Linked DNA regions of Oryzias latipes. The protein of the gene in region 1 binds, or shares a complex with, the protein of each later gene. Links are inferred from orthologs where the notes say so. Each region holds a gene or a part of one and is shown on either strand. Other genes may lie near its edges.

The links.
Region 2: coro2a (region 1) and gps2 share a complex: the UniProt entries of both Homo sapiens proteins name them as parts of the N-Cor repressor complex. The link is inferred for Oryzias latipes from reciprocal best matches to the Homo sapiens genes CORO2A and GPS2.

What each region holds. Positions count from the first base shown.
Region 1 is NC_019859.2:16,876,794-16,880,305, forward strand, and holds part of coro2a (coronin-2A), read left to right. Parts: coding exon 1-121; intron 122-3,512.
Region 2 is NC_019876.2:14,446,377-14,450,549, reverse strand, and holds the start of gps2 (G protein pathway suppressor 2), read right to left. Parts: upstream 2,811-4,173; 5' UTR 2,704-2,810; exon of another isoform or gene 2,644-2,703; intron 2,241-2,643; 5' UTR 2,217-2,240; coding exon 2,096-2,216; intron 1,547-2,095; coding exon 1,437-1,546; intron 1,344-1,436; coding exon 1,231-1,343; intron 1,159-1,230; coding exon 1,079-1,158; intron 967-1,078; coding exon 887-966; intron 13-886; coding exon 1-12. Other genes in the region: gabarap (gamma-aminobutyric acid receptor-associated protein), read right to left, coding at 4,155-4,173. UniProt on the Homo sapiens protein: Key regulator of inflammation, lipid metabolism and mitochondrion homeostasis that acts by inhibiting the activity of the ubiquitin-conjugating enzyme UBE2N/Ubc13, thereby inhibiting 'Lys-63'-linked ubiquitination.

The DNA.
Region 1 (3,512 bases):
TGGCGTGCCGATCACACGCAGCGTCCAGGACAACAACTTCTGTGCGGTCAACCCTCGTTTCCTGGCCGTCATCACTGAATGTGGCGGAGGGGGGGCCTTCCTAGTGTTCTCGCTGCATCATGTGAGTATCTGCGTCCCGTGCAAGACACACTGCCAAACCCTTTTTTGGACAGTTTTTTTTAAAGACATACTCGTGTGGAGTTTGTTTCTGACGTGTTCAAAGAACACTTTTAGCAGCTCATGTTGTCCACAGAGGCAAGCGTATCATTACGGAGCTGCCAGCAGGTCAGACGGGTTACAGATTTATGTTCCTCCATCAGACAGAAATGCTGTTCCATGAACGCTGCCACACTGATTATTAAAATAAATGACATTTCCTCTGAGCTTTAAAAGTCACTGGAATAATTGTTAGGTATTCTCTTCGTGGCCTTGCACAATGTTCTCAAATTTTATGATTCCAAACCCACTAGTTTGTCTGGTTATTCGGTCGCTTTACCTGGTTGTGGGTTTTTATGGTCCGCTTTGTTTTTCACAATACTTCCTTCTTAATTTAAACAAAAATTTTGCCCTCGCCACAAACTCAAAAACTCACTGAAATGTGCAAGTCCCAAATGCTCAATGAAAAAGAATTTTTAGTGAACAACCCCACACCCCCCACCCCACCCCACCTCCACCCCCGAACCCCCAAGAAAGAAAAGAAAGTATGACATCACATTGGGCAAAACTGTCAAAATAATGAACGGCGCTAATATTTCTTGGAGCTAAAAAAAAAAACCAATTCACAATTCACTTCTGAAACTGAAACACGCTTGTCCAAAGGAAGTTTTAAAATAATTATGGGATGAACACAAGATCTACAGCTGGCAGCCATTTTGTGGCAGTGTCAGATTTGGTGATTTTCACATTTTTACTTGATTTGAGAAAAGGAAACTTTTCCCAAATTTCACACAGGCCACCATCTTGAATTTTCAAAAGAAAAAGTACCAGCTACAGATTTAAACTCCTCCTAGAATTGCAAAAACAGCAAAATTATAAAATGTATGATCTTAGTCGGGGTGGGATTATATAAGGTCGGTTCTTCCCTCTCCTTTTTAAGCAATAAATTTACTGTAAATCAAGATCTCCTGGACTTCAGCTATTGATCACTATATTTTATTAAGCAAATGTGACTTAAGTGTGTCTTTATTTGTTTTATTTTTTTTTTATCTGTGCTTTTCATGATTTCTGTAATGAGTTTAATAAATCTGTGTGAATTTTTTATTGTATTGACTTCAATTAATGCTTGAAATCAATCAATCAATTTATCAAAATCAATCAAAATCAATCAATCTATTGCCTCCTGCCTCCCAGAGCATCATTGGGAAGCTAATTTTGAAAAAATGTTGGAATTAGAAGTTAACAATTTTAAACAGCATTATCGTGGCGAACTTGGAAAAGTGGCGTTTCTCTGTTGTTCGCACAATTTTTATCAAAATATTGTGAAATGTAACACGTCGTCTTTGACTCAAGCTGAACCTACAATATGAAATTATTAGAAATGTGGGTGGAGTTGAAAAAAAAAAACACTCTCGTTTCCATGAAATCCAAAAATGTACTTTTGCAGATTCTCCTAAAAATGGATAGCTGTCCGTCACCCTTAGCGACAAAAAAAGAAAATGGTTGCTATGGAGATAAAACCAACAGAAAGGCTGCCATTTTGAAAAAAGTAGTTTTTTTTAAAATCATAAATGTGTCAAGTAAAGCGCTGAACAGGGTGGCAGGGGCAGGGCAGATGGGGAGAGTGAGGGGCATGTAGCAGCCACTCAGTAAGTGAGGTCAGATAAATGTTAACATGTAACAACTTTATGAGAAAACCTTGACATGAATTTTAGGACACCTGCAGACCTAAGAAGAGGAACAGGGGTGTACCTGTAATTTATTTTATTTTCTACATTGAATTAATCCTAATACCACTTTTTTTTTTAACCTGAATTAGCAAACCGATTAGAAAACTTTTTGGTTTTTCACTGGATCCAGCGCTGGTCGCCTTGGTGGGAAAAACACAGCAGTTCGGGTGGAGCTGCTGCTTTTTGACGAAGGAGATGGAGTTGAGTTTGCAAGTTTGGGCACAGCTCCTATTTTGTGGAAATGCTCACTCATCAAGTCTGATTTTTCAGGGAACGGTGATAGCCAGCAGGCAGCACCTGATGGATTTATGTGAATGAAAACAAATCGTGGCTCACTTTCAATTTCTCTTTCTGCTCTACATCGTTCGATCGGTTAGAAAACGATAAGAGCTGCTAAAGGGAGTGAAGTTAAAGGCACCTCATAGTATGACGGCGCGCTTGTTTTTTGGCTGGAGCTTCCAACACTATAAAGCAATCTGATGCCACCACTACAGTTTAGGTGTCTGCCAAAATCCAAAGTTCCTCTGTAGACAGAAATCCTATATTTTTTTAAAGACCCTCTCCTTTTTGGTGTTTTTAACATGTTCTTGTGGTGTTTTTTTCATGATGAAGGGCATATTTAAAAAAAATTACGCTCAAAGGTATCAATTTAGATCAGGGGCAGACGAAAAACTGATCGGAGTGGGAGGTTTTGGTTTCTCTGCCTGAAGTCAAACTCTAGGATAATAAAAGACCTGCGTCTGAGCAAATCTTTCCTTTTCTATTGTTCTTCTTTGTTTCTCTTACTTTTTGTGCATTGTTCCCTTTTGTCTTCCTCACCACCAGGATTCAACAGCAGCTCTTTCATCCAAGCCATCCCATCTACTGTTCCCATCAACAGTGAACTTGTTCGCTTCATTTAAAAGGATTTATCAATCTCAAACACTTCTCAGTGCTTTGCCTCCTTGCTGTTCGTGCCCCCCCCCCTCTCTGGCATGCTCACAAAGCGTATAGGAGCTTAGGAATGACATAACTCATGGTTTGAAGCCCCCCCCTGCTCTTTTTTTTGTCTCGGGGAGGTGGAACTTTGGCGCTCCTGCTCCTCTTCTTGACCACCTTTGTGTGGACACAAATATGCTGTTGCTCCCTGCTGAGGGGAGGTGTCGCTCATGACCAGAGCAGAACGTCTTCTTCTTTCTGCTTGTTCTGGATTCTGTGGGTCTGCAGGTGTGTGCCTGTGTGTCAGGTTGTGTTCGTCTGTAATTAGTCATCTCATTGGGGCAGAAAATCCCAACTGACTCTTCCCTTGTTATAGGACGATCAAATGTGGGGTATTTGTCATAAGTATTTTGTGTAATTCTGCTTTCAGTTGGAATGGTTTGATGTTAATGTCATGGTCTGGTGCACTGCAAGCAAGATGGAAGCGCATGCCCGGGCCTGCAAATACCAGCACATCCTCTTTAGTCAGTCACATTCCTTCATCCTCTCCCAACTGGAGCTGCTCTTAGAATGTTTCTTATTTTTAAAAAAGCGTCACAAATCTCCTCTAATGTTTGAGTGGAAATCAATAGTTCGTTCAAAGTACAATGTGGCCCCACAAAGATTCTGATAAATGTCCTAGGGAGATGTTATTTAAGTGAGTAATGC
Region 2 (4,173 bases), on another chromosome or scaffold:
AAAATGCCGTCCCTAGAGATAAGCCAGAGGAAGTGAGAAAACCTGGGAAAAAGAGTGACTTGATTGACAACATTTGATTGACATTTTCCACAAAAAAAAATGTTTTGTGTAGTTGCTAGGCCACCAAAAAAAATTATTTTTCATACACAGTGGGATAAACACTTTAAAAATATATTTTCTGTATTAAAAAGCTGGTTTGGAATTTAGGTAGGGCTTTAGACTCTGACAAAAAGTTGTTAAAAACAGAGTTTCAGCGGTGAACCTTCCATTAACTTACTTTTATTTTCAAAATAAAATAGCTATAAACATGATAAATAGAAGTGCTCGAAAAAGGAGTGGGTACAAGGAAAATCTTATTAATTCCCACCACCAATCTTACTATATTTAATACATACATTTTTACTAATAAAAATTAAAAACATAAAATAACTGAAGGGGAAAAAATAAATAAAAGCATCTAGGAACCAAACATCACATTTCTCCTTTTCTAATTTATACATTTCCAAAATGTTCAGGTTGCACTTTTTTCTCCATTGTGTTTATCATTTTTACTCATTTTCACAGACAGAAATGTTGACTTTTTTGGGCTGTCCGTACACAAGGTTGTTTAAAGAATATCCTCCTTCCTTGTTCTTAAACAGTTTTGTTCTGTGGAGGTGGTTTTGTTTTAGCTTGATACATTTTTTTTGATTTAGAGAATAAAATGTTCATAATAGTCCACTTTATTATTTTTGGTTATATGCAAAGTGGCTATACGCAGGTTTTGTAGGCATTACTCGGGTTAGAACCGAAGTAAAGCAAAGCAGCTTGGCCCAGGCTTTTCCAAACAACAGAACTAAGTAAAGAACTTAACAAGACGTTTTTTTAACAGCCCACTTGTACTTACAGGGATCACGGTTGTTGTGTACAACTGTTTGTTTCTTTCTCCAAGTAGTGCTCCAGCTCGACTGTGGCTCACTGGACTACCTACCCTCAAAAAAAGAAATAAATAAACAAACAAAATGATCTTAGTGCTGAAATTAGCTAACAAAACATACAACCTTTTTATGAAATGTGTATTCATGGTTTAGTAGCTCACCTTGAATATTAAGGAGGTGCTGTCCTGTGTGCATGGGCAGGCTCTGTTGGTAACTGGCAGATGTCAGCGTTGTTATATCACTGATAACAGAAGGAGGCGCAAAATTACAAGAGGCATCATTCGTGGACTAAACAACTGTTGAATGAAAATACCTCTGCTCCTTTCTGCGCCTCTTCTCCTCCTCATGGAGAACCTTTTTGAGTTGCAGAAACAGCTGATGCTTTTCTTCTTGAAGTCCCTGAAGTTTTTCTCCCATTTTCATCACCTGACATCAGGGGAGAAATGTCATTAAAAGGAAGAACTAAAGAGTCAGTTAAAAATCCTAAAATAAGGGTCATCTTTGATGGCAGGTGCTCACCTGTTCTTTGGTTTCCTCTAATGACATCCTTTCCTCTATTTCTTTGGTTCTTTTCCTCTCCTCCTCCTCCTTCAGCTTTTGCTCCATCATTTTATCCACCTCCTCTTCCTCTGAAAGGTTACAGGGACAAGATTTAGCATCACCTGTAACACTTTCACACATCTGAAACATGATAAAGTTACTTGTAATGATAATTGTCAAGAAGGTCAGAGACAGATTTTAGAGACCCACTCCAATGAAAATTATATGTTTGGTATTTTAAACATGTTCTTGTGGCCTTTTTTTTTCATGATAGAGGAGATATATAATTTTTTTTTTATTCAAATCATTGTGAATCAGGAGTAGATGTAAAAACGTCATTGTAAAAAGCTCACAGTTTTGACATAGACCCAACAGCAAGCCACAAGCAGCCTGCTCTGCTCCATTATGAGGCCTCCACTTGGAGGCAAAAAAAATCCATGTGAGGTACTGTTGTTCTGCAAAAACTACGTCCTAGAAAACGATACAGACTTTTTGATTTAGCCTAAAACCGGCAGAATCATAATAAACTGGCCACTGGGAACGCTTTTAAAACAGATCAAGATTTGATTGGAGTGGGCCTTAAATGAAATCTCCTAGAAAATCAAAGAAGAATGATTATTTCTGTTCGGTTAACTTACTTCTCCTTTTCATTTGATGACACTGACCTTGTCTTTTGCGCTCCCTCTCCCTCATGATGTGCTTGTGGAGGGCTCTGGCCATCGCGTTGGACAGTTTCGGTCTCTCCAACAAGGCAGGCATGGTCACTGGTAACGGAGGGGCCAGCTGTTTTAAAGTTCAGAGGTTTAGTATAAGTGGGCTAAAAAGACTCAAGTAATTTTACTGAAAATTGAACTAAATAAACCTTTTAATCTGTTTTGGAAGGGTTTATACCGAGCCATGACCTAGCTTAATTTAAACAAGTACTGCGTGATGCTAGCCTGAACAAGGATAAGACGGCAAAATCTTTAAAAATAATAAACCCGCTAATCTAGCAGCAAAATTTAACATGAATGTTTGTGATAAGTAAGATACGTCCAAGACAAACATGCGTATATCTGTGTGCAAAAAGACCCAATTGTTAGCTAAAGTTAGCCACACCAGCTAAACAAATAAGTGCGCGACGGAGTTTATACTATATTATTTTAATGCTTGCTAACAGCTAATTTATTTCAGAAAAGATGCTTACTTTTATCGTTAATGTTGCCGTTTTTAAGAACCAGACTGTGTCGCCTTTTGTAATATCTACCTTTTTGCTTTTATCCGGCAAAACTTTCGGCCGCGAATATAAACAGAGGTTTTAGGACCGGGGGAAAGAGTTCTACTTCCGGTTAAAAGACACGGCTGCCCCATTTGCATCATGGGAATTTGCGTTTCAATGTGGAGTTTAAATTCAGACCAACACTTTTAGATCTTCTAAATCTAGCTTAAGTGGATTTCAGAAGTCACATTTTGAACTACAGAATTTAAAAACAGTATTAATTGTAAAATAAAAATGTTGCACTCATATTTTTAAATTTAAGTTAGCCTATATTTTGTAATAAGGACATTCCAATGCCCCCATTTTTTAATAACTTTCTCTATATTTACAGACTATATATATAACCTTTTTTTTATACTAACAGCCACGTACTTCTAAAATCAAAAGACCAAACTTACCTAGGTTTATCAAGAGAGATAAAATACTTTAAACATATTCCTATTTTTCTTTTGTATGTTTTGTTTAACTTTCATATCAAAGATAGGCAACAGTTTTTCCATTTAGGACTAGATCCCACCTTTTTTTAATGACCTTTTAATCTTAATGTAATTTTTTTACTATCCAGTAAAATCATCAGACCATAAAAAAAGTCAGGAAACAAATATCAACTTTCATAACATTTTATCATATACGATCATGAGTGGAGAGAAAGAGCCATTAATGCAGCCGTATACAGAGTTCTACTGTAAATCCTTTTTAAAAAATAAGAAACTTAAAAAGAAAATTACACTCAGCTTTACAACTTCTTTAGAAAGTGAGCCACCTAAAATTAACAATAATAACAACAATAATCATATTAGCTGTCAAAATAATTTTACCACTGAAAGCAGAGAATGATTGAGCAGTCTGAATCCTATTATAGTCCTCGCAAAGATTAAATATGAGGAAGGAAATACTAGTGTTTTGGGATTTAACAATTTAATAAAAATAAAGCTTACCGTGACCTCTTTAAATTTAAAATAAAATAAATCAAAAGGAAAAAAAAAAAAGATCACTACCGCTGGCAGCACTATCACTATTCTTTTGAAAATTATTGACTTTAAAACATAAACCAAAATCTTTTTCATCATCAAAGTCTTGTCAAAATTTGACAAGCACTATTTATACTTATTACCAGGCAGGGGTCAATTTAACTCAACAAATTCTGCCTCTGTTTTCTGCACTCAGAAGTAAATACAAGCGCATAGCGGTTGAGATTTTATTTTCACTTTTCTTTATCAGGCATTCTGTGGAGTACGATTCCCAAAAACCAAACCAGAGAAGGCAAATACAATTCAGACTGCAAAATAGAAAAAGTCATAAATGAATATGTAAAAGATTGTGTTTGTGAGAAGTGAAAGTGCAGATGACATTTACTCTGGGAACTCTACACTGCCAAGCTGGATTTTACTTTTTAAATGAATGAATGACAAAGGTCTCAGAAAGGTGGTTGAAGGGGATCACATTTCCCTTTGGCTG